4 linked regions of the Struthio camelus genome follow. Each later gene encodes a partner of the first gene's protein in a complex. Links are inferred from orthologs where the notes say so. Each region holds a gene or a part of one and is shown in the gene's direction. Other genes may lie near its edges. The genes, in order: PPP4R1, PPP4R3A, PPP4R3B and PPP4R4.

Region 1 (7,090 bases):
TGCAAGCTCCCAGTGCAGCCTTAAGGTTGCATTAGTAGGTGCCTCAGTTTTGTACGTGCTAGTTTTCAGAAGTTTAATTATCACTGAACTTGACTTCCTGCAATGACATGAGATACCCACGAGGCAAACTTAACTTTACGTTAGCAAAGTTCTTTGTCAGCAAATTTAGACTAATTCATTCATGGCTGTCATACCAAAAAGCCTCCTAGATCCATCAAATCCTGTATCTCAGCAGAGTCCTGAACAGGTACAACTATTCACGTGCAGTCAGCAAAATTACTAATATGTATATTGTTTACAATCTTTCTGCGAGGCCTGCACTTGGAGCAGTGACAGCTGCATTCTGATATTCACAAATAATCACCAGCTCAGGCTCTTACTCAGGAAAATGGGGAAATTAAATAAAACTGTGGTGCACAATCAAAAAATTTGTCATCCACGAGTGATGAGTCAAAAAAAAAAAAAGAACTCAGGTATTTTTTACTGGGGGAGAGAAAAGCACAACAGGTAATAGGAAAGGGAAGGGAAGAGAAGGCTTTACAATGTACAGCCCTTTTTAGCATAAATGCTCCAATAGATGATGTATTTTCAAATGCAAAATTAACATGTTTCAGGCTTCAGCCTCCAGGTTTTTACATATGTCCATTTGTATTATAGGTACTCATTTGTTTATGTGGGTATATATAGTCTAATGCTTGTGAGCTTCAGTCATGGGCCAGTTTGAGCTAGACACTACAAAAAGAACAAAAAGATGGTCTATAAAGTAGACAACTCATTGTTTTACCGTAAAGCAAGAGACAACAGATGTATGCAGACAGAATCCCGGGGGAGGGCAAGAAAACTATGAGTCAGTATTACTCAAGAGGATGAGCAGTTGTCTCAGTGCACCAGAAGTCTAACCCTGAAAAAAGTTTTTTGTAGGCTTTACAGGAAAAGAGAGTTTTTGAGGAGGAATCTGAAGGAAGGTAGCAAGATGGCTTTGCAGATATTTATGGGAAGGACTTCCCACACAGGAAGGGAAGCCTGGGAGAAACGCAAAGCGGGTTAACTTGCGGTCATTGAAAGCCTGGCATTGTTTTCTGATCAAACAAGGAGACTTACTTCTTCACAGCAAAGGAGAGCAAATAAGATATTTTCACGTGTGAGTTCTTGGGCCTGCAGTGTTCTCGAGCCTGAGGCCTTTATGCCTGCAGCAGTTTTGACTGAAGAAATGTCAGTAACCCAACTTCAGAATAACTTTTTGCAAATACACTCAGGTGGATATGAGGTATCTTGTGTTTAACTTGGTCATTTTTGTAGTTTTGAAAAGATTTATGAAGTACTTTATATAAATACTATAAGGATCTTGTTAATTGCTATGGGCTTTTCTGAGATAAGTCACGTATATATAGCAATAAAGATGTCTTCTATCACACGTGAAGACTCTTGCCACAGTGTCTTCCATTTGTATCTTCTCATTCATAGCCTTGGCGTCCATCCTTTGAGCGTATTTTTCTTGGGATATAGCGTTCAAACTTGAGTTTATCTATGCCTTAAATTTCTTATTTTCCAATGCCTTTAAGGGTAGTCAAACAGATTATTAGAACACCAGCACAAAATGGGCTAGAATATTTTGGTAGGTGCAAAAGTATCCTTAACACGCTTCAGCTAATAAAATGAGAAGTTTCTTATGAAATTTTTCTTTCAGAATTAGATACATTATTTTATGAAAGTCGGCTCATCACACTATCTGAGAGAATCAGTGCGTATTCTTAGAATATACTTAGAAGGTTTCTATTTGCCTTGTTTGTGACCAGTAGGAATCTGACAATTAACCTGAACTTTAGGTTAGGCCCTTAAATAGTGTCTGGGGAGATCAAGGTATAGAATTTATGGTCTCCTTAAGCCAGGAAGTTTAGAAGTAGGGCTATCTAGTTACTTATTCATTATGTGGGATTTGGTTTTGTGTGGTGGCATGAAGCCAAAAAAGGGATTTTTCTCCACGTATGTGTCACGGTATGAGCCAAAGTTTTTGCCTCAGTATTTTTATTTGCATAGGAAGAGACCTTTCCTGCTGACTACTAACAATGGTACTAGGACCAGTTTCATCTGAGGAAAACAGTCTACTAGTTCACTTGTAGGAGAAACAAAAAAGCAATTCCTGAGCAGTTATAATTTGTCTTGTAAATCACCCTGACCCTATCCATATTCCCACCTACAAACAAAGAACTAACCACCACTTAGGAATACCCCATTCACATAGGAAGACCCCAAAATTGGTGTTAAATTATGTCAAGTATGCTCTCTTGCATTCATCATTTTACCCTGTTCTATTACATAAATGGTCAAGGTAGTTTTGATGCTCTCAGACCATAGTAATCTATATTTAGTATGCATTACTACCTGTTTGTAACGAGTAGGAAAAAGGAACGGAAAACCTTGGTTCCTTCAAGAACAGCAAGTGCATACATTTTAGGCAATTGCTACTGACTTCAGAAGAAGAAAACCAGGCCTTGATTATGGTGAAGACTGTAACGTGGAGAAGAAAGAAACCTTCCTGGAAGTAATGTACAGTAATGGAGCTAATAAAAAGTTGTTCTTTGAGTATGCTTTATTTTTGTGTTCTAGGCCTATTGCTATCATATCCAGCATCGCCAGCTATTTGTGATGTCAAATATTTCTACCGAGTCTTCTCTTAAATTACACTGGTAGAGAATAGCATGGTCCATATCATGTAGTCATGGTGAATTTACTTGATTTACTCAGTTTTTAAGGTTATATATTTGAATGAAAGAAATGCTGGATAATCTGCATCCAGTGGGCCCTAGTGATTTCTCTAAGGTTTGAACAGCTGTGAAAGAAAGCAGTTTGTTCTTACAGGAATGGAAGGAAAAGGATGTGTGCAGTTTCAAGAAAGATTATACATTTTCAGCCACTATGGCAAAAAGAAGGAATTACTATAGGGATTAAATCCTTAAGTGATTCACAAAATAAAATGAAAACAATGGTTCGGTATTAAAAAACTACTTACAAGACATGACGTCAACCCTGTTGAGTTAAAAATTGATCTACTAAAATTGCATCCCTTCTGAATAAAATGGACAAAAAAAAACTTGTTTTGCTATTCTATATCTTAACAACACCAAAGATGATTACAGAGATAACAAAAAGATGGTGGAACACTCAAGACTCCCAGTTAGCATCAGTTTCGGTAACGGTCCTTTTCTTTAGCAAGTGCTACGGGTAGCTGCAAATTAGAGCATTTGTTTTATCCAGCTTCTATAATCTTCCAATTTACAGTGGAAAAATCTATCAAAATAAGTACAATTAATGACAAAAACACCCCCGGTTTCGGAGGGCCGGTTCACCAGCCGAACTGTAGAGGTGCCTCCACGCGAGTTACGCGCCAGGCAGGAGGTTGCCGGCTGGCTAAGCCGGCCGAGGTGTCCGGGTGGTGGCCCGGCCGCTTTGCGGTGACGGTTCTCTGCAGGGTGACCTCACAAAGCCCCAAAGCCGGGACTTTTGTGACCCGGCCGCCTCGTGGGGACCCTTCTCTGCAGGGTGGCACTAAAAAGCTCGCGGGAGGACTTTCGTGGCCGGGACACCTGGCAGGTGACCCCACAAAGCCCAAAGGCGCAGACTTTTGCGGCCTGCCCGCTTCGCAGCGACCCTTCTCGCCGGGGTGACCCCACGAAGCCCGAAGTGGGGACCCCTCGGGCGAGGGCAGGGCCGCCTGGCTTCACCGCCAGCAGCCGGGGCAGCACCAACGCCAGGCGGTGCGGAGCGGGGGAGCCGGAGCCTTTTGAGAGGCGGCGGGGGGTGGGAGGGGAGGGGGAAGACGCTAGGAAGGAGCCGGCCGGGCCAAGGGGAAGCGGCGTCAGTGCCAAGCGGGCTCAGGCCCCGGCAGAGCGGGCGGCTGGGGGGGGGGGGTCCGCCAGCGGCGGGGCTGGGGCCAGCGGCGCGGCCAGGTGAGCGGGGCGGCCGGGAGGCGGTGGCCCCCCGCTGTGCCCCGGCCGCGGCGCCCGCGGGCAGGGCTGGGCGGCTCCGGGCGTGAGTCAGTGCGAGGGGCGGGGAGGCGAGGCGAGGCGAGGCGAGGCCGGGTGCGAGCGCGGCTCCGCCGGGCGGAGGCGGGGGCAGCGTGTCCAGCCCAGACCCCTCCTCCCGCCTTCCTGCGCCCGCCCGCTCCTTGCGCCGCTCTCTCGGGGACACTGGGAGACGCTGCCGCCGCCGCTGCCGCCGCCGCCGCCGCCGCCGCCGCCGCGCCGGGCCTGCCCCCCCCCCCCGCCGCCGCCGCCCCGCTTCGCCGCTCCGCAGCGGGTTCAATGTAGCCCGGCACCCCGTGGGGGCTACAGCAAAATGGCGGGTAGGTAGCACCCCCCCCTTCCATCCTCCCCCTTTCCACACACGCCGCCTCCCTAGCGAGGCACCAGAGCCCTCCTCCCCCCTCCTCTCCCCTCCTCCTTCTCCCCCGCCCCGGTTTAGGAAGCGCTTCCCGCAGCGGCGCCCCCTCCCCGTGTCTCCGTCCGTGCGTGGGGAGCCGCCGGGGTGGGGTTGGCATGCGAAGGTGGGGCGGGGGAGGGGGTCCGCGGGGCGGGCTCGCGCGTGGGCGCGCCGGTAAGGTGCGTGCGTGGGGGTCCCCTCCCCTGGTGGAGGGGGGGGCGCGGCGGGCGGGCTGCGCGGGTGCAAAGCGCGGCCCCGGCGCGTGCGGGCGGCGGGGCCCCGTGGGTGGGTGGGTGAGTGGGGGCGTGGGGACACGCGGGGGGCGGCGGCGGTGAAATGCGCCGGGGCGCGTTGGCACATTGTGTGTCTCCCGCAGATCTGTCGCTGCTCCAGGAGGACCTGCAGGAGGAGATAGACGGCTGTGAGTGGGGCCGGGGGGCGCTGGGGCGGCCACGGGCCGGGGGCTTTTTTGCGGTTGAGGAAGTAGCTTCAAATGTGAATGCCCACGGTGCATTGTGGGAGGAGGAGGAGGAGGCCATGCTCCGCGCTTCCTTATGTACATAAAATCCAGCCGGGCGTGCGGGGGGCAAGGCCGGGCTGAGCAGGGCTTTTCCTGGCGGCGGCGGCGGTGGGGGCTTGCGGAGCGGGGCAGGCTGGAGTGAGGGGCTGCTGTAAGCGGGCTAACGCGGCCGCAGGGAAACGCGCTGCGTTGGGCGGGCGCGCCGGGGAGCTGCCGTTAACGGTCGTCGCGCGAGGGCCGCGTCCCTCGCGCGGCAGCCGTTAAGGCGGGGAAGGGGGGGAGCGGGTGGGGAGGGGGCGGTCATCGCTCCTGAATTGCGTGGGGAGCTTCTCAGGAGGAATGAGCCGGGTGGGTGCTCTCGAGCCTGAGGCCTGTGGAGTTTGTTTTGTTTTGGTGTCCCCCCCCCCCACTCAGCCCCCTTCTTCTTGCAACTGATGGGGAGAAGGAGAATCGATGTTTGGGAAAGTGTTACGTCGGGGGGGGGGGCAAGTTGCAGTACATGATTCCCGTTCAAAGTGCTAGTTCAGAGGTATGAAGGTTGAAAGTGAGGGCTGTGCAACGTGAATGCAGGTGAGAAGGACGTATATGGGTAGTGTCAGTGTTAAAAGAACTTGGAAGCCAGATGAATTTTATATAGAAAGTGAAAATGGAGGCGTCAGCTCTTCTTGAGGTGATTCATAGCATAGGCTTCGGCTATGCGGTCTGCTGTAGGTTTGCAGACCCTTGTCACTGTCTGAAGGTACTTTGTCTACTGTGCAGCCTTCACAAGGACTAGATTGCAGCAGTAAAAGCTTTCTTGGCTTAAATGCTTCTGGGAATGTTATTTACACTTTCCAGAAGTTAACTGGAAACATCTTAGTTGTCTTCTGTTTTGTGAACTGATTAAAATTTGTTCTATTTCTTTTTATGTTGTGTATTGCCTTGCACAAAGAGAGAGCCTTTTTGTAAGACTCTCCTCCCCCTCGCCACCCAGTTCTGATTGCTTGAAAATCAGATTGGTAGTGTAGCTGTTTGAAAACTTTGTGATTAGGTGAGGACTTTTAGAAAAGTGTCACACTTTTAAGAATGTATGTCTTTTTTTAATTTCCACTTAGACTGTGATTTTTTTTTTTCTTGACTGTAAGACAGTAGTTGAAGTAAGAAATGATTATAGTCTTTAGAGAGATGATTTGTAATCCTTGGGTTCCTGGAGGTGGCTTGAATGTTGCAGTCTTGCCTTTAAAAAGGAAGAAATTATATATGCATGGAGATATGACTCAGTTCAGATGAGAGCATTTTGAAGGCAGCAGCCATAGAAATCTAAAAATTTGAAGCCTCATAAAAAATTAGTGAGGTTCTGATGGAAGTAGATAAAAGTGAATAGCTCATTACTTAAGTGTATTATTTTTAGAGAAAGCAGGAATCTGCATGAAACAGCATGTGCTGTCTGGACATAATTTGGTCACACCTGATGTCTTCTACAGTTTTGAATTTTATGTGATTTTGTTTTCGAGAGGTGGACATGAGCTAAAGAAAAATAACACAGACTGAAGAGACTGTATGTATGTAGTCGATAGCGTTATTTCTTACACTTCTTTGAAATAGTCATGCTTTGTATCTATGTACAACAGGTCTTATGCAATTTATGAAAGCTTTCCCAGTTGATGCATTATTTAGGATTACATTTCATGTTTGCACATGTGAAATAGGCAGTTTCAAAAAAAACGACAAACGCTGCAATTTTTGCCTGGCTTTCCCAGGCCTGAAACCCCAGCCTACAGTACCTCTCTGTTGTACGTTTGAAAGCTACTGTTTTCAGCATTGGAGTTAGAAACTGGTTTTGAGACGTATTCCGGAAGTAGTAGAATGTACTTGTGAGGACACTGGAAGTGCAGGCAGCTTTTATGCGTGTGCAGTTCTGCCAGCTGTGGTCTTGCTATTAGATGTGCTAAGCTATAGTAAGGACAAGCAAGGAAAAGGAAGCGTGGGCATACCTGTAGTCCAAGTGGTATAACTTAGAAATTATGTAAATGTAAGATAGTATGAATTATAAGAAAAGACTGAGATGAGATAGACTGGCTGGCATAGATTTTCAGTAAATCTTTGTGTTTTTTAATTGACTGGGTATCAAGCAGCAACAATAAAAACATCTCATCTGCAAACTACACTGGA
Region 2 (7,356 bases), on another chromosome or scaffold:
TGAAAACTGAGCAACAGCATCTGAGACATGATTCATAGGGTATGTGTGCAAAACTGTGCATACAGCAGGAATTTGAGATGCTGAAGTGAGCCAACCCTCGATCTGCAAAATATACAGTCATTAAGGGGAATCCTTTCTGCCCCATTTCAGTTTCTCAAAATCTTTAAACAATGACACCAGAGTTATAAAAACATTGCATTAAAGCTATAGTCCTGATGTTGAATTCTTCCACAGCTTGCTGGCTTACAATGCACCCAAAAGGTATTAGCCCTTTTAGACTCATGTAAGAAGTTAGTATTGAATTGCTTGTTCGCTATGCAGCCCAGCCTCTTCCAGAGGTGCTTTAACTTTTATAGGTGTTGTCTTGTATTGTGCTATATCTCAATGGTCCCACTCAAGAGGTCTAAGTTAGAGCACGACCAGGACATCCCCAGCTGCCCACCCTGCCTTCTTCTCTGGATGTCAGAGCTGCTTATCCATCAGCTCCTCAATCAACCCAGTTTACAGCTCAAAGTTTAAGGAAAAGCGTCACTGTTTGCCTTAAAAACGCTGTCACAATTTGGGAGGTGCTTCGTGAGCTCACAGACATTTGTACAGCCAGAATAGGCCAGAAGCAGCTGCCAGTAACCTTCGCAGCTGTCCCAGGCTAAGCCATCCCTTCTCGTCAGTCAGGGCTTTCAGTAAGTGAACCAAGCTGTTCCTGACCACTCTGTCCTCAGCAATATTTATAACTCTTCCAGTCTCTCTCTGCCATACACAATTTTCATTCAGAGATTTTATATTAACTTTCTAATTATTACTACAAATCCTAAACAGCATCAGTCCCACTCTTGATTTCTGCACGATTATCTGGAGTCACCTCCACTGAATAATGGTTCTGAGCTATGCCTGTCTCTCAGCATCTGACCCATGTGGCGTGGGCTTTCTTGATAGCATACAATGCCGACTTTCCAGAAAAATACCTGAGAACTATCCAAGTATATTATATCTGCACCATTACTCTTACAAGCAACTTTGTAATCTAACAAGAGATTAAACAATTTTGAAAGTCTTTTTTCCATAAAGCCACATCAGCTGCTATCGCTATGTTCTAATCTTATAATTCTTACCGATACTGTGTATCGGTATTTATTGTTGGTCTGTGATTGTTGTCAGATAAATCAGTCCATTATTATCTATCTGTTCCAACATGTCCTATTTGAATTCTTACAAAGTGTCATGTCTTGCAGAATTTCTGCAATACTTGCAGCTTCTTAAAAAATTAGCATGTTTTCATACCTCACATATGCAAACTTCTTTAGGACTCCCAAATTCCAATTTTTTAGGACTTGCATATTTTCAAATGTTTATCTCTAAGATAAGTTATTTAGTGTGCTTCTTAGTAATGAACAGGGAGGCACTTAGTCATCTTCATATGATATAAATACATCAAAATTCTTTCCAAGTATAGAAAAAAATGTTAAACAGTTCTACTTTTTGTATCAATATCAAAAATTTTTTAGTTGTGATATCATAGGCCTGGGATACCGTTAAGATTTGGAAAACTTGAGCTGTTCCTAAAACTACCAGCCATACATATTCTGATGTCCTCATCCATTTTTCTATGCTTTCTAGCTTTATTGCGCAGATTGCTAGAATTGTCATTTTTCTACTTGTTGTTTATGTTTATTTCTAACTGTTGTGTTCACCTCCCCATTGAACTAGAAATGTATTTTTCTGAATTTGCTGTCTGAGTTATGTCCCGCTTAATTTCTTCTGGACAGACACCCCCTACTTTGCTACAATTTTTCTATATAATGTTTCTTCTCAGTCACTCATTTTCCACAGTTTTTTGGATATAAGCCCTCTAGACAGCCAGTTCTCTGTGCTCTATTTAGTATGGATTTTAACCTTGTTTTCACATACAGAATGTAACCATATCAAACTCAGGCAAGCAGAGACTTTGATTTTAATAATTTTTTCATCTTTATCATAATAAAGTCTGAAGTTGTTAATTTCTCTAATATGATTTTTTTTTGTCAGAAAATCATTAGCTATGTTTTTAGGAGCTCTAATCATGCTTTAGTGCATACCTTCAAGATATATGTCTGCAATGGAGTTCCTCCTAACAATGTAATTTTCTTTCCCAAAGCTGTGAGCAGATATTGAAGGAAAAAAGTCATCTTCCTTAGTTCTGACTGCTGTGCAGGAGGCCCTCAGTAGTAAACCCCTTCTAGGCTTTATTCATTAGTATATTGATCCATATGCATTTATATATCTAAGGATATGAAAGGTTTAAAACTGTGTTCAATACTCCATTTCCTTATTTATTACTCAGTTCCAGGTGGGCCAAAACTACTGCCAGGACAAGGTGCTGGGTTATTTACAGGAACTAAGTGAGCCTAAGCTTTTGGTTCAGTTAAGGATGACCTCTCAATATCAGGAGAATCCCTGAAGATATTTCCTTTGGGACACACAATACTTCATACCTCTGGAAATGGAGAAGGAATTGAGATGTCACGTGGCAAATTTTGTCTTCTAAATCATGACTCTGAGAAAAATAAACTGAGTGTTTTCTTCTTTGGCATCTGCTTTCCATCATGGGAGGATGCCGTCAATGCCCAGCCTTTCTTCTGGCATCACTGCGGTGGAAAGTTTCGAAAAAAATGACATCCCCCACCAAATACAATGAGAATTGAGATAAAACCTGACAGCGGGCATACTGTAGGACTGAGCATTGTTCAGATTGATATTAAGATAATACAAAGAAAATTAAGAAAAGCTGAACCCCAAATGTGCACAAAGCTAACTTTCTATGCCAACTAAAATCTGATTGAGCTTTTTTTGAATTCACCAAAAAAAATAAAAAACCAAAAGAATAGTCTATTGTTAATCCCACGGCCACCAGAGGGTACAATTTGTAAATGAGTGCAGCTGTCCCACAGAGGTTTCTGTAGGTGACGTTGGCCTGTTTTGAAGTCACAAAAATCCATCTCCAGAATTGCCCAAGATAAACGCGTGAGCAGCACCTCCCCAGGTATGGCCACCCGGGGGCTTCCTCGGTCACCAAGACGGGGGCGCTGAGCGCCTTTTTGTGCCCGTGCTGCTGGAGGGCCTCCCTTCAACAGGGCCCATAACCTACGGTTCTCAGAAAACCAAGTCCTTCCAAGCCAGTAATTATATCAGCCCCAACATAACTCACTTTCATAAACAAATATGGAATACTTTGAAAAATAAGCCAATCTAAGTATATAAATTGCAGTGAGCTCCCATGTACGTAGCATGTCCAGACCATGTTCTGAAATGGACTCGCTTGCGTGGCGATATGTCTGTGGGCTCCAAAAGGCACTAGTGGTTTTTGCCTGTGGTTTTTTTTTTTGTTATTTAATATTGATCCATCCTTAAAAGGGGAATCTGTCAAACATATGTTCAGATGTTGGCAGCAGCGGCAAAAGCAGAGGCTCAACAGCTTCGGCTTGTTACTGCAATTGTTAGAGGTCGCGCAGACCCAAGAGCCGCTCGACCAGAAGCCGTTTAACTTTTGGATCACTCAGCAGGGGGCGACGGGGGGAAAAAAAACAACCAAAAAAAGATCCGATTCCCCCCCCCGCCCCATGAAACCACTCTTTGGCAAGAGGACGGCTCCAGACGCGCGCAACAAAACAGCCGCGACAACCCCACGGTCTGCTCCCCCTGGCGGCACCCCCGCCCGGCCTCACGGCGCCCACGGCCGCGCGGGGCCACGTGTGTGCTGCCCGGCAGGGACGGCAGAGGCAGCGTGCTGCGTGACGGGGGCTGCGCGGTGCCAGGCGGCGAGGCGTGGGCGCTGCGGCCACGCGTGGGCGCGGAAGGAAGCGCGGGGCCGGCGCCGGACCCCGGCCGCAGCGGGGCGGCTGGCCCTTTAAGCGCTGGCGGGCGGCCCGTGCCGCCGCTGGCTGGGAGACCCCGCGCCTCCAGTGAGAGGTGAAACCAAGATGGCGGCCGCGCAGTGACTGAGGCGGAGACAGAGGCGGTGGGAGCCGGGCTGGACGGGCCGCGCCACGCCGCCGCCGCTCGCCCCTTCGGCTGGGCAGAGCTCCCGCCTGCCGGCTGCGCCGCTGAGTGCCTGGAGTGCGGCCACGCCGCAGGGCGCGCTGAGGAGCCGCGAGTGAGCCGCCGCCGCCGCAGCACCGGCAGGAGGAGGAGGAGGAGGAGGAGGAAGAAGAATATGGCGGCGGAGTCGGGCTGGGAGTGATCCGCCGCCCGCGACGGGAGCCCATGGGGGAGACGGGGCGCTGAGCCCGGCCGCGCGCTCCGCCCCGCCGCGGGACAGGCGGTGCCCGCCGGCCCCACGCGAGCCCCGCCGGGGAAGGAGGGCGGTTCCTGGGAGCCCCGCGCTGACGGACGGCGAGCCAGGGGCTTCGGGCCTGGGCAGCTGCCGCACAATAGAGCCGCGCTCGGGCCGGGGCGAGCGGCCCCGCTCCCGCCTGCCTCCCGCCGCCTGCTTGCTCCTGCCGGCCGCGCCGAGCCCGTCGCCAGGGCCCCGGCCTGCCGGGTCGCCCGCTCCTGTCAGCCCGGGCCGGTCGGTCGGCCGGCCGCCGCCGCCCGTGCCTTCGGCTGGCCCCTCCAGCCCTGTGGAGCCGCTTCTCCTCCGGGACCCCTTCCTGGCCGCCGCTTCTGCCTGCCCTTCGCCCCGCAAGGAGCCTCTCCGCGGCTCTCCCCAGCTTAGGCTTGGTCGCCTCTTGTGCAGCACCTAACTGTCCCTGGAACAGCTCGCCTTTCACCGCCTCGGCCCCCCTTCCTGCCCCCCCCCCCCCAATCCTCTGTTACTGCCGATAATGAAGATCGTGTTGGAGCACTGAAGAGGACTAAGAAGAGCTCTCCTGGCGTGCCCGTGTGGGGCTGCTACCCTCCTTCCCGCTCCCCTCCTTTGAGGGGGGCCGAGCCCCCCGCCAACCTCCCGCTTCTTCAGGTCTTGCAAGCCAGGGTGGTGGCAGTGGTGTGGCAGGCGGCAGGATGACTGACACCCGGCGGAGGGTGAAGGTGTACACGCTAAATGAAGACCGCCAGTGGGACGATCGAGGCACAGGGCATGTGTCCTCTTGCTACGTGGAGAGGCTGAAGGGCATGTCCCTGCTAGTCAGGGCAGAGAGTGATGGTAAGTGTGTATATGTGAAGCTGTTAGAGCCTTTCCTCGTCCTACTCCAAAAAGGAGTAGGAGTTGGCTTTATATGTATGTCTCTTGCCTTAACGTTTTGCTGCATAATTCGAATGTAATTCCTGAAAGCAAGTAGGCATCAGCCATAGTTCATTCTTGTTAGGCCAAGTGAAAGGAATGGACGATTGCCATCAAGTGCAAACATTGTAGTAGGCACTTGGTTCGTAGTGAATACAGTACTGCATGCCAAATACAATGAAGTCTAATTGCAAGTCTTGTGCAAGATTGGGTATCTGATGATACCTAGTCTACTCCAGACCCAAAACTGATCATTGTGAATGCTTCCTTGGATGTTTCTGGAAGCAACCCCCTCATGAAGGGAGTTGCTTAAAACTTAGACCATACTTTTGGAGGGATTTAAAAAAAAAAAAGTCATTGGATGATTAGATGGCTAACATCCTTTATTTTTCTTTCTTTTTTCACCCTGTTTTCTTTGGTAGTAAGATTTTACAGGGCACTAGCAGCTAACAATAATTATCAATGTGCAGTTGTAGTAGTAAAGACAACACAATGGACAGAATAGCATTTTCAGAGATGCTTTATTTTTTTTCTTGAAATAGTATTTTTCAATCCTTCAGCAGTTTTAGATCTGCCTGTAAATAAACTTAAGATGATGCATAATCCTTCACGATTTTTGGCAAAACCTACTACAGTTTAAGTGGTAGTAATATTTACCCCTGTAGCTACATGTTTGGACTAGTCTTGGTTATTGGATGAGTGATTTCCTGACTGCTGCGGTCCGAACAGATTTTAAACAGCGTATCTTGCAATACCTCGTGTGTACTATTTTGCTAGTAAAGTCTGTCAATGCGTGACTGACTTTTTCATTAAATATATAGCCACTCTATCTAGTGACTTAAAGATCTAGTTGTGACTTGTGCCTGGCAATAGGCGTTTTATTTTTATTATTGTTATTTTATCTGGCCTTTTCATTATAGAAACTTGGATGAGAGGCAGCTCCAGAATCATCTCATGTCTGAGAAAGTTCTGACAAACTGTACAGCAGTCTCTACAATAAAGAGATAATACGCAGATATGGAGGAGTCAAATTTGCATCTGAGCAGGATTTTGATCATTAAGTTTCTGATAAGCATGAATCTCAGATTTTTGTAGTTTATTAATTATTCTTTAAAGTCTTGTGTTTAAGACAAGATGTCTTTAAGACTTGTTTGTCTTCAAGACTTGTTTTTTAGTTTTCTTTTACTAAAGAAGCTATGGTCTTTATTTTGGTTTGACCAGCTTCCTAGTGTATGACAAAACATTCAAAATGGAAGTAGACTTAGTTTAGTTTCGACATGAGTGAGGGAGGTTAAAAGAGAAGGAAGGTCATCACTCAACTTTTAAACTAATCCTGTGTTCCAGTATATTTTACTGTAGATATAGTCCTTGCTGTCTACATGGCTGCTGTACTCAGGAGACTCTCTTAGCTAATGTTTAAATACTGTCATGTCCTGTTTTTATACTCTAATGATTAAAGTTTCTGATTTTTTTTTCCTTTTCTTAACAGAAGAAAGCAAAAGTACTGCAGTTGGTAACTTGATTTCAAGTAATTGTCCATTCAAACTAAAATACCATTTTAGCAACTTTAGGTGGGATATGTATGTTTAAAACTGATTTGTACCTGAGTTCAACTGCTGTTGCCAGCTTACTTATTGTAAATGAACTTCTGTAAAAAGGAAAATATAAACTGGTGTGAGTGATCTCAGAGGAAATGTGGAGTCATTACTTTCAGTGCTACACAGTTCAGACACTAAAATAGTTAAAGAAGGAGTTGTTCAAACTTATGCTTCTGTGCATTAGCTGCAGTTATTTAATACACACATTGGACTTTTCTCAAACAGCATATACTTTAACAGTATTGAATAATATACAGAGCTAAAGTTCTTAATTTAGTAGGTAGGATCAGTCCTGGTCAAATGTGCAGTCTATTAATAGGCTTAGTTTTTCTAGCTTGCTTGCGCAAACACCTCCTAAAATTTGATTTATATTTTGTTTACCCTGGTAATTGGTTTGTAAGCTAATTTTGAAGGCAGATGCAGTCACTTATAAATGCAGGCAAATGATTTGAAAAAAGGTGATGCCAGACTTATGTTTTAGATACTATGAAATTTGTTGTATTCCATAGCTCTTGTTTTTCTCCTAACTAGAAAAATCATGGTCAACCACTTCATTTATCAAAA
Region 3 (7,015 bases), on another chromosome or scaffold:
AAACTCTTTGGTATCCTAAATACTTACAGAATTATTGAGTGACAATTCTTGTAAAGGAAGATTTGCATATAGCAAGTAACTTTTTGGATACTTGCACAGGATCTGTCCAACTTCTGAGTGAAACTTCTCTGAAAAAATGGTTCCACATCTGTTTTTCCACCGAAAGGTAAGAATAACCTTAACTGGCCTATTTTATGTTGTCAGCTATCGGTGCCCAATTTAAAATAATATAGGCTTAGCAAGCAAAAATGTATTACCTCTAAGCAAATCATACTTAAATTCACGTGCATACTTTTCCCATGCTTCAGTATGGAGAGAGCTATGAAAATACTACTTCAGTCTAAGTCTACTACTTGTGTTCTGCAGTGAAGACGATTCATTTACACTGCTTTTTCTCAGACCTGTATGTGTAACTAGTGAAATAATTTTTAGACAAATAAGCTGTCTTAGTATTTTTGTGTTAAGATATTAAAGTCTGGAGTATTGTTGCACTACCACTGTATAAGCAGAGTTGGTCTTTGCTCTGAAGAGCTAGCAGTCGAGACAGCACACTGAGTAAATGCACTAACATTGGAAAGAACAGGTTACTTTTATAGAAACAAAAAAAAAAAGTAACACACTGTCTACTGAAGTTCCATTTTTTTGTTGTTGTGTACGAACAAAACTTGGTGCTTTCCGTTGGTTTAAAGAATAATAAAGTTTCTGAAACCTTCCCATCACATCCAAGCTCTAGTGCTATATTTTTCTGCCAGGCCAAGAGGGCTGGAATTTCCTTCATTTGACAATGCTGAAATATTCACGTAGGCACAAAGCTTCAGGAGCTGGGGTACTCTTAAATGCCAGCAATATATACTGCAGGTATTGTAGTGACAGTATTAGAGGTGGCAGAATTGTACTTCTGGGATTATATGCCAGAGGGAATGGTATGGTCTCTTAATTTCACTCCAAGAACCTTTACATGATTTAGGAATTAGTTGCTTTTCTTGTTTGTTTTAAAAGCAAAAATTAAAAAAGAAGAGCTCCCTGCAGCTCCATACTGTGACATATGATGACTTGCTCTGTCTGGAGTTCACCCTAATGGAATTCTTCATTTCAATAAAGAACAGAGAGCTGTTTCTAACAGCTCCAGCTCATTGCTTTGTGATAATGGGGAGAGATGGGCTACTGGCAGGTGCAGCAGCACAGTGAAAAAGTGCTGCTTTGATTTTCCTGACTTTCACTTTGCATGCATTGTTTTGTGTCTTTTGTGTTTTCCCTGGTTTTAAATCAAAGCTGTAAGAGCCATTGGGACAAGTCTTGTATATCTTCTTCAGGCAAAGCGCCCACAGATTTGGCTTGAGCTTTAGTGGAAAACATTACAAGGTAGCGACCCAGTTCCCAACATCCCTGGTCCAAGTTCTCCTGTAGCTGGGGAGTTCTCAGTGCAGTTCTGCACGCAAGAAGCTCCACATCTGCAGGAGTACAACTGGGACATGTTCTGGAGTGGCATTTTTCCATAGAGGTGGTTGCTCTCGTGTGTGGAGAGGCCACAGATTTATTACATAGCCCTAAAACGAGAAATTATTTTTTGTTCCGATTCTGACTCGTGTATCGCCTACTCTTTTCATTGCTGTTCACAATGATAGATGAGAATTTGCTCCACAGTGTTCTAGTGTGGTCTTGAGCTATTCTGTATATCTGGATAAATCCCATATTTAGTCTTTAGTAAGAGTGGCCGTATTTGAACTTTTACATGCTGTTGTTTGAGAAATTGAAGAGTGTGTGTAGAGGTGCTGTTGAGGGGAGAAGGAGCCCAAGAGTGGCAAACATCTTGAAGCAGCACAGCGCTGATCATTGGGTTTTGTGTTTCTCTCATGCAGTTTTACTGAGCTTTTACTGAGACAAAAATAGGCCTGATGGGTAGAACCTTGAGGGCATCGGGCCATATAACAGGGCAAAGGCCAGACAGGTAGCTAGGAAGGCTTATGTGGAACCCAGCTGTAAACTGCTTAATGTGGTTTCACCAGCCACAATTTGAGACTCACTAAGATAACATGGCCTTTTCCAAGCAGTTACTTACCTCTAACTATATGATGTACCTTGAACATACTTTGCTGTGCACAAGTGTATATGACAGTTCTCAAAAGTGCATCTTACATTTAACGTCTTTTGCAAAGAAGAAAAGTAATGACTGCGTGTCTCCAGTGAGCCCTCTTAAAGACAAAAACTGGTTCAACGGGGGTTGAACCTCAGTTCCCCAGAACCCTCATAAGGGTTCTTCAGTTAAGCTTTCTCTTACCCTTTTTTATATGTGGATTGTCTTGCAGATGTTAAATAGGCAGACTAACGAGTTTTCAGACGCATCAGTTTGCCTCTTAAGAAATGTTAGACTTTTCAGCTGATCAGCTGAAACAAGCCAGCTGCTCAAAAACTGCATCTTGCTGCCACCAAGAAATGATCAGTGACTGGCAAATGTCCAGCGTACTGAACAGTGGCGAATTTTAAATAAGCCTGTTACAAACAATGTATGTCAGAGCAGAATATCTAAACATGAGACTTAAATGTTACATAAATACTCTGAATAATATTTTGCTTTCCCGGAGAATATTTTTTTAATATCATGAAGGCGTGACATATAGTTGCTTACAGTGGCATGTTCTGCAGTAAACTGCTGCTTTCCCTTCCATTTGGAAGGAGATTAACTTAGACCAGAGAAATGACAGTGTTTTAGTGTTTACACCTATTCAGGTGTAATTGCTTTCTCGCTTAGGCAAGAGCTAGGAGAACTTGGGTTTGCCTGGGACTGAGAGAAACTCTGGCCTGCGAGACGCCCTGGCCTGCAGGTTACTTGCTCTTCCCCTCTCCCTTCTCTTCCAGAGGTTGAAAGATTTTTATGGTCCAAGAAACTGCCAGTTGCCCTCACCCCAAAGGGCCCCACTGTCTCGGACAGCTCTGTCCTTTGTACGCTCCTGTGTCCTTTTCCCCTGCCCTCATGCGCATACTGAGGTTTACTGAACTCTCCCAGTACATTAACCAGCCATAAATACAACATCCTTCCTTCTTTTGCCCAGCAGCGTCTGTTCCGCTGCTCTCGTCCTTCATTTGCGTGTATCCATTAAAGTAAACTTTAATTTTCAATTAATTTTATTCTTAGTACTGAGAGAAAATGTATAACTGCTCTTCAGTACAAAAAAAAAAAAAAAAATTATTAGCTTCAGTGTGTCTGGCAAGGGGTCTGTCTTTACCTGCACAGCGTTTGCAGGGACCAGTTAAACAGCTCTTTCACTGACAGGTTTCACAGACCAACTTTACACTTCTTTGTACCCAAAAGCTTTGCCAACCGTGCGCAACAAAATGCGTTACTGCAGCCTTTGCGGTGGGGCCAGAGGAGATGTTACAGAACAATACTGCTGCTATTTTATGATAGGAGAGAATCCTCAACCTTTTTCTTTGAAAACGGTTTTTTTTTTTTTTTAAATACTAGGCCTTGTTTAAAGTTGTGTTATTCCGGTATAGCTCCTAAAACTAAGCCAGGCAGGACGCAGATCTCTCAGTTAAAGGAAGTTTGCATCACGGAGCTAGTCCCGTACAAGCCTCTTCCCCTTCTCTCCGTGCAGACGTGGATACCCTGGGCGGGGTACCAGCTTTTTTGAGAGTCTGCGGGTTTTTTTGTTGGTGGAGGTGTTCCTTTTGTTTGTTTGTTTGTTTGTGTTTTAACTGTTACACGGCTGCCGTTTTTCTGATGTAAAGCAGCCCTTCAGAAAGGCCATGCGCATCGGAAGGCCGAGGCTGTGAAGCACCGCGCACCCGCTCTTCGCTGCGCCGGCAGGTGAGGGCCGCTGCCGGGCCGGTAACTGCGCAGCGGGGCCCGGCCCCTTCCCGCCCCTCCCCCCCCACCGCCAACGGCCGCCCCTGGCCCCGCCCCCTTCGTCGCCTCGGCGAGCGCGCGTCGCCTCGCGGCCGCCGTAGCCCCTGCGAGTGGAGCCCGTGGCTGGCGCTGAAAGGAAGAGAAAGGCAGCGAGAGTCGGGTTACAAGATGGCGGCCGCGCTCTGGTAGCGGCGGAGCGGCGGCAGCCAGGGGCCGAGCCGGGGCGCAGCGTCGCCCTCTCGCCGTCGGGGAGCCATGAAAAGCGGCGCGTTAAAGGCCCCGCGCTGCCCGTGAGTGGCCCGGCTCCGCGCCCGCCGTCCCTCGCTCCATCGCCCCCCCCCCCTCCGGAGGCGGAGCGGGCCCGGGCTCGGGGCCGGGGCCGGCGCGGAGGCCCGAGGCCGGGGCTGCACCATGTCGGACACCCGTCGGCGGGTGAAGGTCTACACCCTCAACGAGGATCGGCAATGGGACGACAGGGGCACGGGGCACGTCTCCTCCACCTACGTGGAGCGGCTCAAGGGGATGTCGCTGCTGGTGCGCGCCGAGTCGGACGGTGAGAGCGTGGCCGGGGCCGCGCGGAGGCCTAGGCCGCCCCGCCGTGGGCCCAGGCCCTGGCCCGGGCCCAGCCCCGCACCGGCGGAGGCCGCGGGGCCCGCCCGCCTGCCGGGGCCGTGCGCGCTGACCCCTGCGGCGCGGCGCGGCTCGGCGCGCTCCTGCGCCCCCGCTGCTGCCCCGCTCGCCGGCGCTGACACCGGCCACGGCGGGGGCTCCGCCGGTGGTGTCTTCCCCGGCGCGCTTATCAGAGAAGACCCGGGAGGAATTGTTTTCCCCTTTCCTTTCTACGACTTGTGTTTTCCTTCAACGTTTCCTTCTGATAAGTTGCAGCAGTGTTGATGAGCGCGACCCTAGGCTTTTTACTCTTCCAGTTACCCTAGCTGTGGCTCTGTTCGTCTTGACTGATAGAGGTGAAATTGTTACATGCGATGACAGTTTCAGAACAATTTTGTTCTGTTTTGACGTACTCTTTCTCATCCTTTCTTGGTACTGTAGAGTTTCTTTTAAGAAATTCGCTCGTTGTATTTTGAAATGATTGAGTTGGGTGGCATTCTTTACCTTTTATTGCACTTTGAAGTCACCTTATGGATCTTGGGTTGGGGGGGGGAGAGACACTCGCCACTTTGTCAGCCAACAGGTGCTAATGTGCTAAATAAACCACCTAAGACTGGTGTAAATTACTATGGAGCTGTTGCCAGGCTACGTACACTGCTTGCATACACAGAGTCTTTGGGTTTATAGCATCTGGATGATTCACTTCTGAAGGACGGTTCAAGGAAATAGTAGTAAAAAGACCACATGGCTTGTGTGGACAAATACATTTTTACGCTGTACAACATGTTATCTGCTGCAAGCGCGTACAGAATTATTAAATGGCCTTCAAAGATATTAGTTGTCACACCATGTTCTAGGAGAAAAAAAAGTACTACGGAGAATTTTGGTCTAAAGTAGAAGAAGAAAACATATCTTAAACTTAATTTGGTTATTTCGGTTGAATTTTGTGTTTTGCCTGGCTTATTTGTAGAGGACTATATTTTAAAGTGATCGTTCTCTTGAACTTTCTGGAAGACGCGGACTACAGTGAGCATATGTTGGCTGGCATATGGGCAGTTCTTGTAAAATCTATGGAGATGTTTGTTTTGTTTAACTTGGTAAATTTGTCTTGATACCTTTTCCAGGTTCACTGCTGTTAGAATCGAAGATAAATCCAAATACTGCATATCAAAAACAACAGGCAAGTATTACTAGGCTTTTTTTTTTTCCTTATTGATAATGAGAATTTGCGTAATGCCCAAACTAATTGTGATTTCCAGAAAAAGGTAAAATGTCACATGTAACTGTTGGTGGTGTTTTCCACAGAGGTGAAAAATTAGCTTAGAAGCTTGTAGGTGCTGTACTGTTTTGCATTCTAGAAATTTAAATGTCAGTCTCCCAAAAATATTTTTGGACTTAGGTTTTGAAGATAATATGTGCAAAGTATTGAGCTCATTAACAGAAAAATAGTTAGAAACGTATGCGTGTGATTTTGTCTCCCACCCCAGGTTGTATAAAGTAATTACCTCATTAGGAAGGCAAAATTTTGTCCAACTCTATTGCGTTATATTTGTTTCTTAAGGTTTTTTTTTTTAGACATAACACCAAGGAATTTGTCTTTGTGGGACTTCTGTTATTGTTTGTTTGTTTTTGTTTTAAGCCTTGAAAACTTCTGCTCTCCTGAGTAAAATTACTATGCCTGGTGAGACTTACTTGCACAGTTGCCTTTCCTGGGTGGGGGTAAGCCTTCTGCAAGCCGAAAAAGTGAAACAGTAGGGAGCTATAGTAATAGGCTGTCTTTGTTAAGCCACTGAAAAATTAGCTTACTAAATCTCTTTTGCTTTTATCACTTCTATTGCTTTTTTTTTTTTTTTCTGCATGCATTTTTGGTGTCCCTGCCTACATTGTTCTCATGGCTTACTGCTGTTGTTTGTTTCCTTTCTGTCTATTCCTTTGTCCCACAGTAGATTATCTTTTTTGGTTGTTTTTTTTTTTTGTTCAGTATTTTATACTGCTTGTCATCGTTATAGTATCCAGACATCTCTCAGCACTAGAAAACAATTAACTTTGCTCATCTGAAATCGTGAGCAGGCAAACGTAAGAAGGTCTCGTTTGTTTGTTTTTCGTTCAGTAGAAAGATTTAGCTCTGAGCACAGGTTGGCTGACTGTAGTTTAGGAGGGAGCCTTAAAGCCCTGGGCGTACCTTTTCAGAGGTCTCCGTTATCTGTAGTTTTTATTTTTCACTCCTTATTTTGGTGTATTTAGTCAGTTGGATGATGGTCATCAATGTAGTTTGGTATATTTTGCTCGGTCTGGCCAGGTTGAGGAAAGAGGAGAGTCTTTATGGGAGCTCTGCAGGGTTCTGAAAGTCACAAGCCTTGAACTGCTCCGTATTTGTAGAGGCAATTAATACATAATGCAATACAAGTGCGGATTATGTTGCTGCAAAGTTAAATTGCTTCCTTTGACAGTCTTATTTTTTGGAATGTCATACTACTGCTTCTTATTTGAGAACCTTCTTTCCTTAACTGGTAGGAAAGTTTCAAGTGACTGAAGCAGCTTTAGTTTTCTGTTGTGGAG
Region 4 (7,720 bases), on another chromosome or scaffold:
TGGAGTGAAAGGAACTGGTTAAAGAAGGAAGGGAAATGCATATTTCATTTGTGGGAACACACTCGTGTGTATATTAATGGACTAAGCCATAGGGTAGGTGGAGATTACTAAAGGAATTCCTTAAAGATTAATGTTGTGGACTAGTCTTATTTCAAACATTCATTAATGACCGTGACACAATATGAAATTTGCTGATGGCACAAAGTTATTAATACAGAGGAGAAGTACGACATCAGGCAGATTGGGAGGACTTTGAGGACTGGAATAATGGGATGAAATTTACTCATACAAAGTGCAGGACCATTCAGTGAAGGCTAATACTGAGAATTTAGACTCTAAGACAGGAGTTAATTAGTTTTAGACGACTGTGGAAGAGAACGACCTCTTGTATCAATTGATCACAAGGTAACTGTGAGCTGCCAATGCAGTATATTTGGTAAGCTATCTCTTGAAGATATTCATTCTCCATAAAAGGCATTACTTCCCTGAAGCTGCTGTCTACAATACTATATAAAATTCTGGTCACCTTAATTCAAGACAGGTGAAGTCAAACTGCAGCAGGTGGGAAGAGGCCAATCAGGATGACCAGGAGAACTGAGAGCCTGTTTTATGAGAGAAGACTAAATGTTGAGCTTAGCTTGTTTAGCCCAGGATTAGAGGAGATATGATTGTGATCTTTAAATAGCAGGAAAGGAAGAATGCTTTAAAGTAAAGTACAATGCTGGTACATGAAGAAAGTAGGTAAACTGGCCAACAGTAATTTTAGGTAGAAAATCTGAAGTTTCTATAGCAACCAATGAGTAAAGAATACTGGAAGGCAAAAACTGGTTAGTTTTAATATCAGGTTTGTCTTGTTTATGACAGACTGCTCACTGTTGTCATAGCAAGGAACTGGAGTCATTGGCTACCTTTGTATTAGGAATAGAAACCGTGTGCTGGTCTTTGGCTCTGAGGCAAGCTGGCTTGACCGTGTTCACAGCAGTAAACTCCCTTAACCTCCCACACAGGGCACTCGTATCCTTGCTGCCTGCCGAGAATGGTCTGGGCTGGTGCTAACTCCTGACCTGAACGAAGGGACTGTTTGGGGGAATTCGTGCTGGCCTTGGGGACCGTTCTGGCAATGTAAGCAGTACGGAAGGCTGAGCTCCAGCCCCTGGGCCTAGGCCCAATATTGTTTAATTTATGTAATTGGTTCCAGAGATTTCTTCAGCTCCCTGCTCCTTTTTAAGGGTTGAAAAAATTCCCCGTAAAATATTGTCTAGACCTCTGTACTTACATACTGACGTCACTGAGATTTTTGCCATTGTCGATCTGCTTTCTAAAATGTAAATAAATACTGTTTTATGTGGATACTTCAAAAGTTAGTAAATCTGGGCAAAAGATGTGTATTTTTAAAAAATAGAAAAAAAATCACTTAAACTTCATAAAGCAATGTGCTATTAGATCCTACTCCGGATCAGATATTCACAAATAGCTAGAAGGTATGAGGAAAATAGCAATACATATTTACTCTGTTGTTATTTTGTCTTCCTGCATGTGTTATTAACTGCTTTTGGAGACAGGACAGCAGATTAGACATGGCAGGAGAGCTAGCTTTTCTTAGAAAGAATAGAGAATGCAGTCACCGTAATCTTATACATGTCATATTGCCTAAAAAAGGATATCTTTTGTGTACATATAAAATAACCTTAAAACCTTTTTGTTTCTTAGATCTTAATGGAGAGTATTAAGTTATAGGAAAGCATTGGGAGAACGGTTCACAGGTGATGAAAGCACAATGAGTACAATCCTGTGTTTTTCCATATACCCTTTTTAATTATATAGCTGTTACAATCAGTTGACAGAAGTGGCAAAAGAGCAATCAGAAATTTTTTGCAAATGACACTAGGACAATGCAGCAACAGTTTCTTAGCAACAAACTGGAAAATATGCTAAATAATGTTTTTATCTGACTGAGATTTGTATATACTACGTTTCAAGAATTGTTCCAAAGTAGACAGATTTTTCTGTGTGGTTCTTTTAGACTAATGTACTTACAGGTTTGCCTCCACTTGGAGTTTTGTTTGTTTTTGTTTGTTTGTTTGTTTTTTGAAGAGTAGCTTTTCGTGGACACATTCTTCCTTGGGGTAAGAATAAAATAAGAAATCTTGTTTTGGAATATCTTAATCCGAAAAATGTTTTTAACATTTATTAAATAAGCAGTAACAAAGCATTCACCTGTGAATCTAGACTTTTATATTCAAACAAGCTCTTGTCCATTTCGTTTTCTTGATGCTGTACTTCCACATCAGGAACTTTATCTAGATTGTGAACTGAAAAACATATCTGAGTCATGTTTCCAGTGAAGTGAAAGTACTGTGGTCATTAATAGAAGGAGGAGATAGTGGTTTAAATATGAAGCCAGGAATTGAGGGGAGAAATGTAAGCTTAAGGCATTAGATGGAATATCAAAGCTGCATTTTTGAAGGGTTTGGTGGACTGCAGTAAAGAGCCATCTTGGTGGTGAACAGACTGAAATGAAATTTCTGCACACTCAATTTAGGTGCTGAGTCCTGGCAGAACTGTGATTATGCAGTGCATGAATTACATAGTGTACAGCTGGAGAAGGCATGTCCTTCTGTATCTTCCACACTAGGTCTTTCATATCGCAACTGATTTAGGCATTGCAACACATTCTGAGACTTGCTAAATTTTCAACTTCTCTGTGAATAATCTGATTTATAGGTTAATTCTCTGGGAACGTATAACAGGTAAAGTAAGAATCACAAGCTTTTCAGAGCAATTTTGAAAATGGAGACACCTAACTGCTGGGTAACAAAGCTCTAACTGCAAAGGTTAAAAAAAAGAAGGTGAAGAGTGGAAATGAGTCTTCATTGTAGAGTCACTGCCAAGTATGTCAAAAGATTTTTTTTTAACTTGGGATTAATTTAAAAGCATTCATCAGGGGAGGTACCTGCTTTGGACTTTTCATTAAAATCAGAAAGGCTTATAAAACAGAAGATTTCTTGTGAGTAATTCCGTTTTGCAAGAGTCCTGGTAGTGGACTAGGACACAGTGAAGGTGTCCTAGCACACCTGACCCAGAAGGGAGGGGACACTACTCAAGGCAAGGGTGTTGCAGCAGGGGAAGTGGAGCAATGTGGAGGCTGTGGCAGTGGAAGGGCAGCTCCACAGGGGCCGTGGCAGTGGAAGGGGATCCCTGTGGCAGCCGTGGCAGTGGAAGGAGATCCCTGTGAAGGCCGTGGCGGTGCAAGGGCAGCTCCACAGGGGCCGTGGCAGTGGAAGGGGATCCCTGTGGCAGCCGTGGCAGTGGAAGGGCAGCTCCACAGGGGCCGTGGCAGTGGATCCCTGCGGCAGCCATGGCAGTGGAAGGGCAGCTCCACAGGGGCCGTGGCAGTGGAAGGGGATCCCTGCGGCAGCCGTGGCAGTGGAAGGGCAGCTCCACAGGGGCCGTGGCAGTGGATCCCTGCAGCAGCCGTGGCAGTGGAAGGGCAGCTCCACAGGGGCCGTGGCAGTGGATCCCTGCAGCAGCCGTGGCAGTGGAAGGGCAGCTCCACAGGGGCCGTGGCAGTGGAAGGGGATCCCTGCGGCAGCCGTGGCAGGGGAAGGGCAGCTCCACAGGGGCCGTGGCAGTGGAAGGGGATCCCTGTGGAGGCCGTGGCAGTGGAAGGGCAGCTCCACAGGGGCCGTGGCAGTGGATCCCTGCAGCAGCCATGGCAGTGGAAGGGCAGCTCCACAGGGGCCGTGGCAGTGGAAGGGGATCCCTGTGGAGGCCGTGGCAGGGGAAGGGCAGCTCCACAGGGGCCGTGGCAGTGGAAGGGGATCCCTGTGGAGGCCGTGGCAGTGGAAGGGCAGCTCCACAGGGGCCGTGGCAGTGGATCCCTGCAGCAGCCATGGCAGTGGAAGGGCAGCTCCACAGGGGCCGTGGCAGTGGAAGGGCAGCTCCACAGGGGCTGTGGCAGTGGAAGGGGAGACCCCTCCACTGTGTGTGGCGGTGGAAGGGGAAGCAGTGGAGCGGGGCCGGCTGCGCCGGGCGAGGCCCCGGCAGTAGGACGCATCCCCCGGCGGGTGGCGGGGGTGGGGGGGTTGGGCTGTGCCGGGAGCCCGGACGGGGGTCGTACACGCGGGAGCGGATCCCCGCACAGAAGGGCCTGCGGGCAGAGGTGACGGCGCAGAGCGCCCTGGCGCGTGTCCGACCCCACGCCCGTGTGCGTCCCCGCGCGGCGCGGCACAGCAGGCAGAAGGGCGGCGGGAGGCGACGGCGGCGCGAGACGGTTAACGGCCGGGGGGGGGAGGGGGGAAGGGGGGCGTGCCCCGGCCCTCGCGAGGAGCGGCCGCGCCCGCGCCCCCAGCGCGTTCGGCTATTACCGCGCTCGGGAAGCTCTTTTGCCCCGCCGAGGCCGCTGTAGCGCCGCGTTGCCCCGGCGACCGGCTCGGCGGTGGCAGGGCGGCCCCAGTGGCGGCGGCTGGGAGGCGGCTCCGCGGGGCTGGCGTCGCGCGGGGGGCGCTGAGGCGCCGGAGCCGGGGGCCGTCCCGGCGCGGACGCCGCGGCAGTCGCTCCCTGCCGTCGTCGGCGGCGGCGGGGTGGGGGGGACAGCTGCGCTGAAGGAGTGGGCCGGGGCCGGGGCCGGGGGAGGGGAGCGACACTGCACCACGGCGGCCGTCCCTCCCCCCGGGGCGGGGAGGGCAGGGGCGGCCCCCCGGGAGGCTGCTGGGCCGGGGCGCTGCGCGGCCGGCCGGGGCTGCTCCTTCAGCCGGTGCCTTCAGTGAGGAGAGCGGGGCGAGCCTGTCGCCCGCAGCCTGCGCTGGAGGAAGGGACTCGGCTGTCTGCTGCCCCCCGCCTTGCCTTCCCCGCGGGCCCTGAAGCGGCCTGGCCCCTCGCCCCCCTCGGCGAACACGGGCAGTCCGCGACGAGAGGAAAGTTGGCTCCAAACTCTCCCTCCGCTTCCTCGCCCCGGGATAACAGCGAGCCGCTGCCTGCCCGCCCCCGGGGGGAGCGGAGCGGAGCGGCCGGAGAAAGTTTGGCGGCGGGGGGCTGTGGCGGAGGCGGGCGGCAGCGGTGCCGCAGTGTGTGCGCTGAGGCGGCGGGGCTCGGCGGCTGCCGGCGGCGGGAGGCAGGCGCTGCTCGCAGACTTGGAGGGGGTGTTGCGTGGTGTCAGTCGTTTCTCCTCCAGTGCGATGTGAGACTCGGAGAGAGCATCGGTTGCCAAAGGCTCTGGTTGTTACATGCATCCAATAATCTTCTTCTCCAAAATGGATTTTACTCAGAGCAATTTATTTGGATACATAGAAGACCTGCAGGAGCTAACTATTATAGAAAGGCCAGTACGCAGGAGCCTGAAGGTATCTACTTCAAAATTGAATGATGCTTTAAAATCCATTTGAAATTTTTGCTGCTTGTATTTATGCACTGCCAGCTGACCAGGCAGTTTATTTTTACAGCACCAGAACATTAAAGCTTGTTTTCAGTTATGCTGGAATATACAATCTTGACTTCAGTATAGCCAGGAGTTAATATTTTCAGTGTAAGGGTGTTAAGCTGGAAAAAATGGACTAACATAAGCCTTTAATTTATATGTGACGTGTTTATGCTGTGTTTTAAATGATTAATAATGAGAGTATCTGACATGAAACTGTACTTTTATTATATCCCATCTCTTCCTGGTGAAAGATTTATTTGACTGAATTTGAAATAATTGGCTAGAGATTTCAGGGGTTAAATTCAAATTACTCATGTAACTATCCTTGAACATGGGGAGGAAGGGTTTGTTTTAAGAAGACTAAAACAAAGAAATAGTATGGCATTGTAAATTCATAATCTCTATTTCACACTTGACAGACACCAGAAGAAATAGAAAGATTGACAGTTGATGAAGAACTCAATGATATTGAAAGGGCTGTTTATCTACTCAGGTATTTCCTAAAGTATTATTGTGAAACACTGCTGACCATCATGTTGACATACAGTTTTTTGTGCTCTTTCTCCTTAGTCCTTTTATTTTCTATCTTTACATAGTAGTTGTTTTATACTTTTGGCTACATTAGGTATATAGGCAAGATTAAAATAGACACTGTCATTTTGTTAAACTTGGATGGAATAGGATGCCTGTGTGGACGTACGGATATTTCTTTGCCGAGTTTCTAATATGGCCCTCAGCAATAATGAGTTGTACTTCGTCTTCTTTTTCTCTGCAATTGGTTTTGCAAGATTCCCTGAGTCAAGTTGACATTAATAAGAGCAATCATTCGGTGACTTCATAGTCACTCTAGGGCATGGGCAGTTACCACGGACTGATAGCAGAGCTGTCTGAACATATTGTATACGTTTGCGCTATCAGAAGAGAAGACTTAAAGATTAGTTTCATAGTCTTTAGGAAATACTGCAGAATACATTATTTTAATATTAATCAATGTTCTGTTTTTTCATTTTATCTTCCTCTTTAAAGTACTTGAATAGCTTAAATTTTGATGGATTCAAACACAAATCTCTTTCAACTCTGCTGCAAAAGTAATCTCTGAGAGTAGGAATGTTCTGAGGCATTTTGATTTGAATATGCGTTTTAAACAATACTTAGTAATTGGAGAACCAGCTGCAGCTCCTTCGCAGTTTGCTTATTCTGCTATTTTAAGTGCTCTTACAGCCTATGCCTGTCCTCAATTTAAAAATATATTTTTTCAATGCCTTAATTTTCTCTTTTTGGGTATGTGGTGTTACTTTTAGGTAAACATTTTTGTCCACTAGTAGTATTTTGATACTGAATTTTTTGTGTTTTTTCATGCTAATTTTTTTTCTTCATTAAGTAATGGAGTTTAAAACTTCCGCTACTGCGGATAGATACTACAGATAGTAATCAAAGTAGTCTTTTGGCTCTAGGGTAATCTAGAGAAACCAATGTCGTTGCATATCATTTTAGGTTTTTTTATCTCACAGCGATCAGCATGGTCATCTTTTTTTTTTTCTCCTTCATGTGAAGCAGCAGATCTCTTGCTCCTTTCCTGATTAAAGATAGTGTTTCCAACAATAGGTCGTTACTGCATCATTGCGTGGTTAAAGGGTAAAAGGTTTGACTTCATATTTTTTATCTTACTAATTACTTTTCAACTTGGCCTTGAACTCTTCTTGACATCCTCGTCTACTTTCTCTCTACCTGAACAGCTGTTCTGGGGGACATAATATTCACTTCCTTGTGATGAAGTTTTTATTTTGCTTCTTTGTAGTCCTCATTGCTGAAAGGTAGCTTCATCTCTGCTTGAAAAGCTTTTTGCAAGGCAATTATTTGCTGTGATTATCCAGGTATGTTTATACATTAATCCAGTGGAAGCTTTTGCTGTTCAGTAGTGCATTGCCTTGCTTGCACTGAGTGGAGTGTAAGCAAACAGAGCTGAAAAGCTGTCTGTAACACAAGTAGTATCCTTTATACAATGCGTAAAAGCATATATCATTGTCTTTTCCAGTATTTTTATGAATTAGAATACAACACACCTACTTTTTCCTGTTTGATGGTAATGTCATGGTCTTTTCATGCCTCGTTTTCTCCCACAGGAGAAAGGCATTACTTGCCTTCTTTCAACTTGTCCCTTATGTGGAACTCTCCTTGACGTTATCCCATATGACACTACCTTTTCTGAATATCCCACTATAAAATTTGCTTTAGTGAAATTGAAATGAATCGTCAATGATGGCTGTGTTCTGTTCAATTTCGAGATGGTGATGCTATACC

Evidence for each region.
Region 2: PPP4R1 (region 1) and PPP4R3A share a complex: the UniProt entries of both Homo sapiens proteins name them as parts of the PP4 complex. The link is inferred for Struthio camelus from reciprocal best matches to the Homo sapiens genes PPP4R1 and PPP4R3A.
Region 3: PPP4R1 (region 1) and PPP4R3B share a complex: the UniProt entries of both Homo sapiens proteins name them as parts of the PP4 complex. The link is inferred for Struthio camelus from reciprocal best matches to the Homo sapiens genes PPP4R1 and PPP4R3B.
Region 4: PPP4R1 (region 1) and PPP4R4 share a complex: the UniProt entries of both Homo sapiens proteins name them as parts of the PP4 complex. The link is inferred for Struthio camelus from reciprocal best matches to the Homo sapiens genes PPP4R1 and PPP4R4.

What each region holds. Positions count from the first base shown.
Region 1 is NC_090943.1:116,180,932-116,188,021, forward strand, and holds the start of PPP4R1 (serine/threonine-protein phosphatase 4 regulatory subunit 1), read left to right. Parts: upstream 1-4,083; 5' UTR 4,084-4,335; coding exon 4,336-4,342; intron 4,343-4,443; exon of another isoform or gene 4,444-4,535; coding exon of another isoform or gene 4,536-4,543; intron 4,544-4,795; coding exon 4,796-4,840; intron 4,841-4,913; exon of another isoform or gene 4,914-4,956; coding exon of another isoform or gene 4,957-4,975; exon of another isoform or gene 4,976-5,090; intron 5,091-7,090. UniProt on the Homo sapiens protein: Regulatory subunit of serine/threonine-protein phosphatase 4. May play a role in regulation of cell division in renal glomeruli. The PPP4C-PPP4R1 PP4 complex may play a role in dephosphorylation and regulation of HDAC3.
Region 2 is NC_090946.1:65,507,891-65,515,246, reverse strand, and holds the start of PPP4R3A (serine/threonine-protein phosphatase 4 regulatory subunit 3A), read left to right. Parts: upstream 1-4,352; 5' UTR 4,353-4,974; coding exon 4,975-5,116; intron 5,117-7,356. UniProt on the Homo sapiens protein: Regulatory subunit of serine/threonine-protein phosphatase 4. May regulate the activity of PPP4C at centrosomal microtubule organizing centers.
Region 3 is NC_090944.1:118,654,449-118,661,463, forward strand, and holds the start of PPP4R3B (serine/threonine-protein phosphatase 4 regulatory subunit 3B), read left to right. Parts: upstream 1-4,005; 5' UTR 4,006-4,258; coding exon 4,259-4,400; intron 4,401-5,580; coding exon 5,581-5,636; intron 5,637-7,015. UniProt on the Homo sapiens protein: Regulatory subunit of serine/threonine-protein phosphatase 4 (PP4). May regulate the activity of PPP4C at centrosomal microtubule organizing centers.
Region 4 is NC_090946.1:66,790,184-66,797,903, forward strand, and holds the start of PPP4R4 (serine/threonine-protein phosphatase 4 regulatory subunit 4), read left to right. Parts: upstream 1-4,705; 5' UTR 4,706-5,225; coding exon 5,226-5,342; intron 5,343-5,838; coding exon 5,839-5,912; intron 5,913-7,217; exon of another isoform or gene 7,218-7,293; intron 7,294-7,720. UniProt on the Homo sapiens protein: Putative regulatory subunit of serine/threonine-protein phosphatase 4.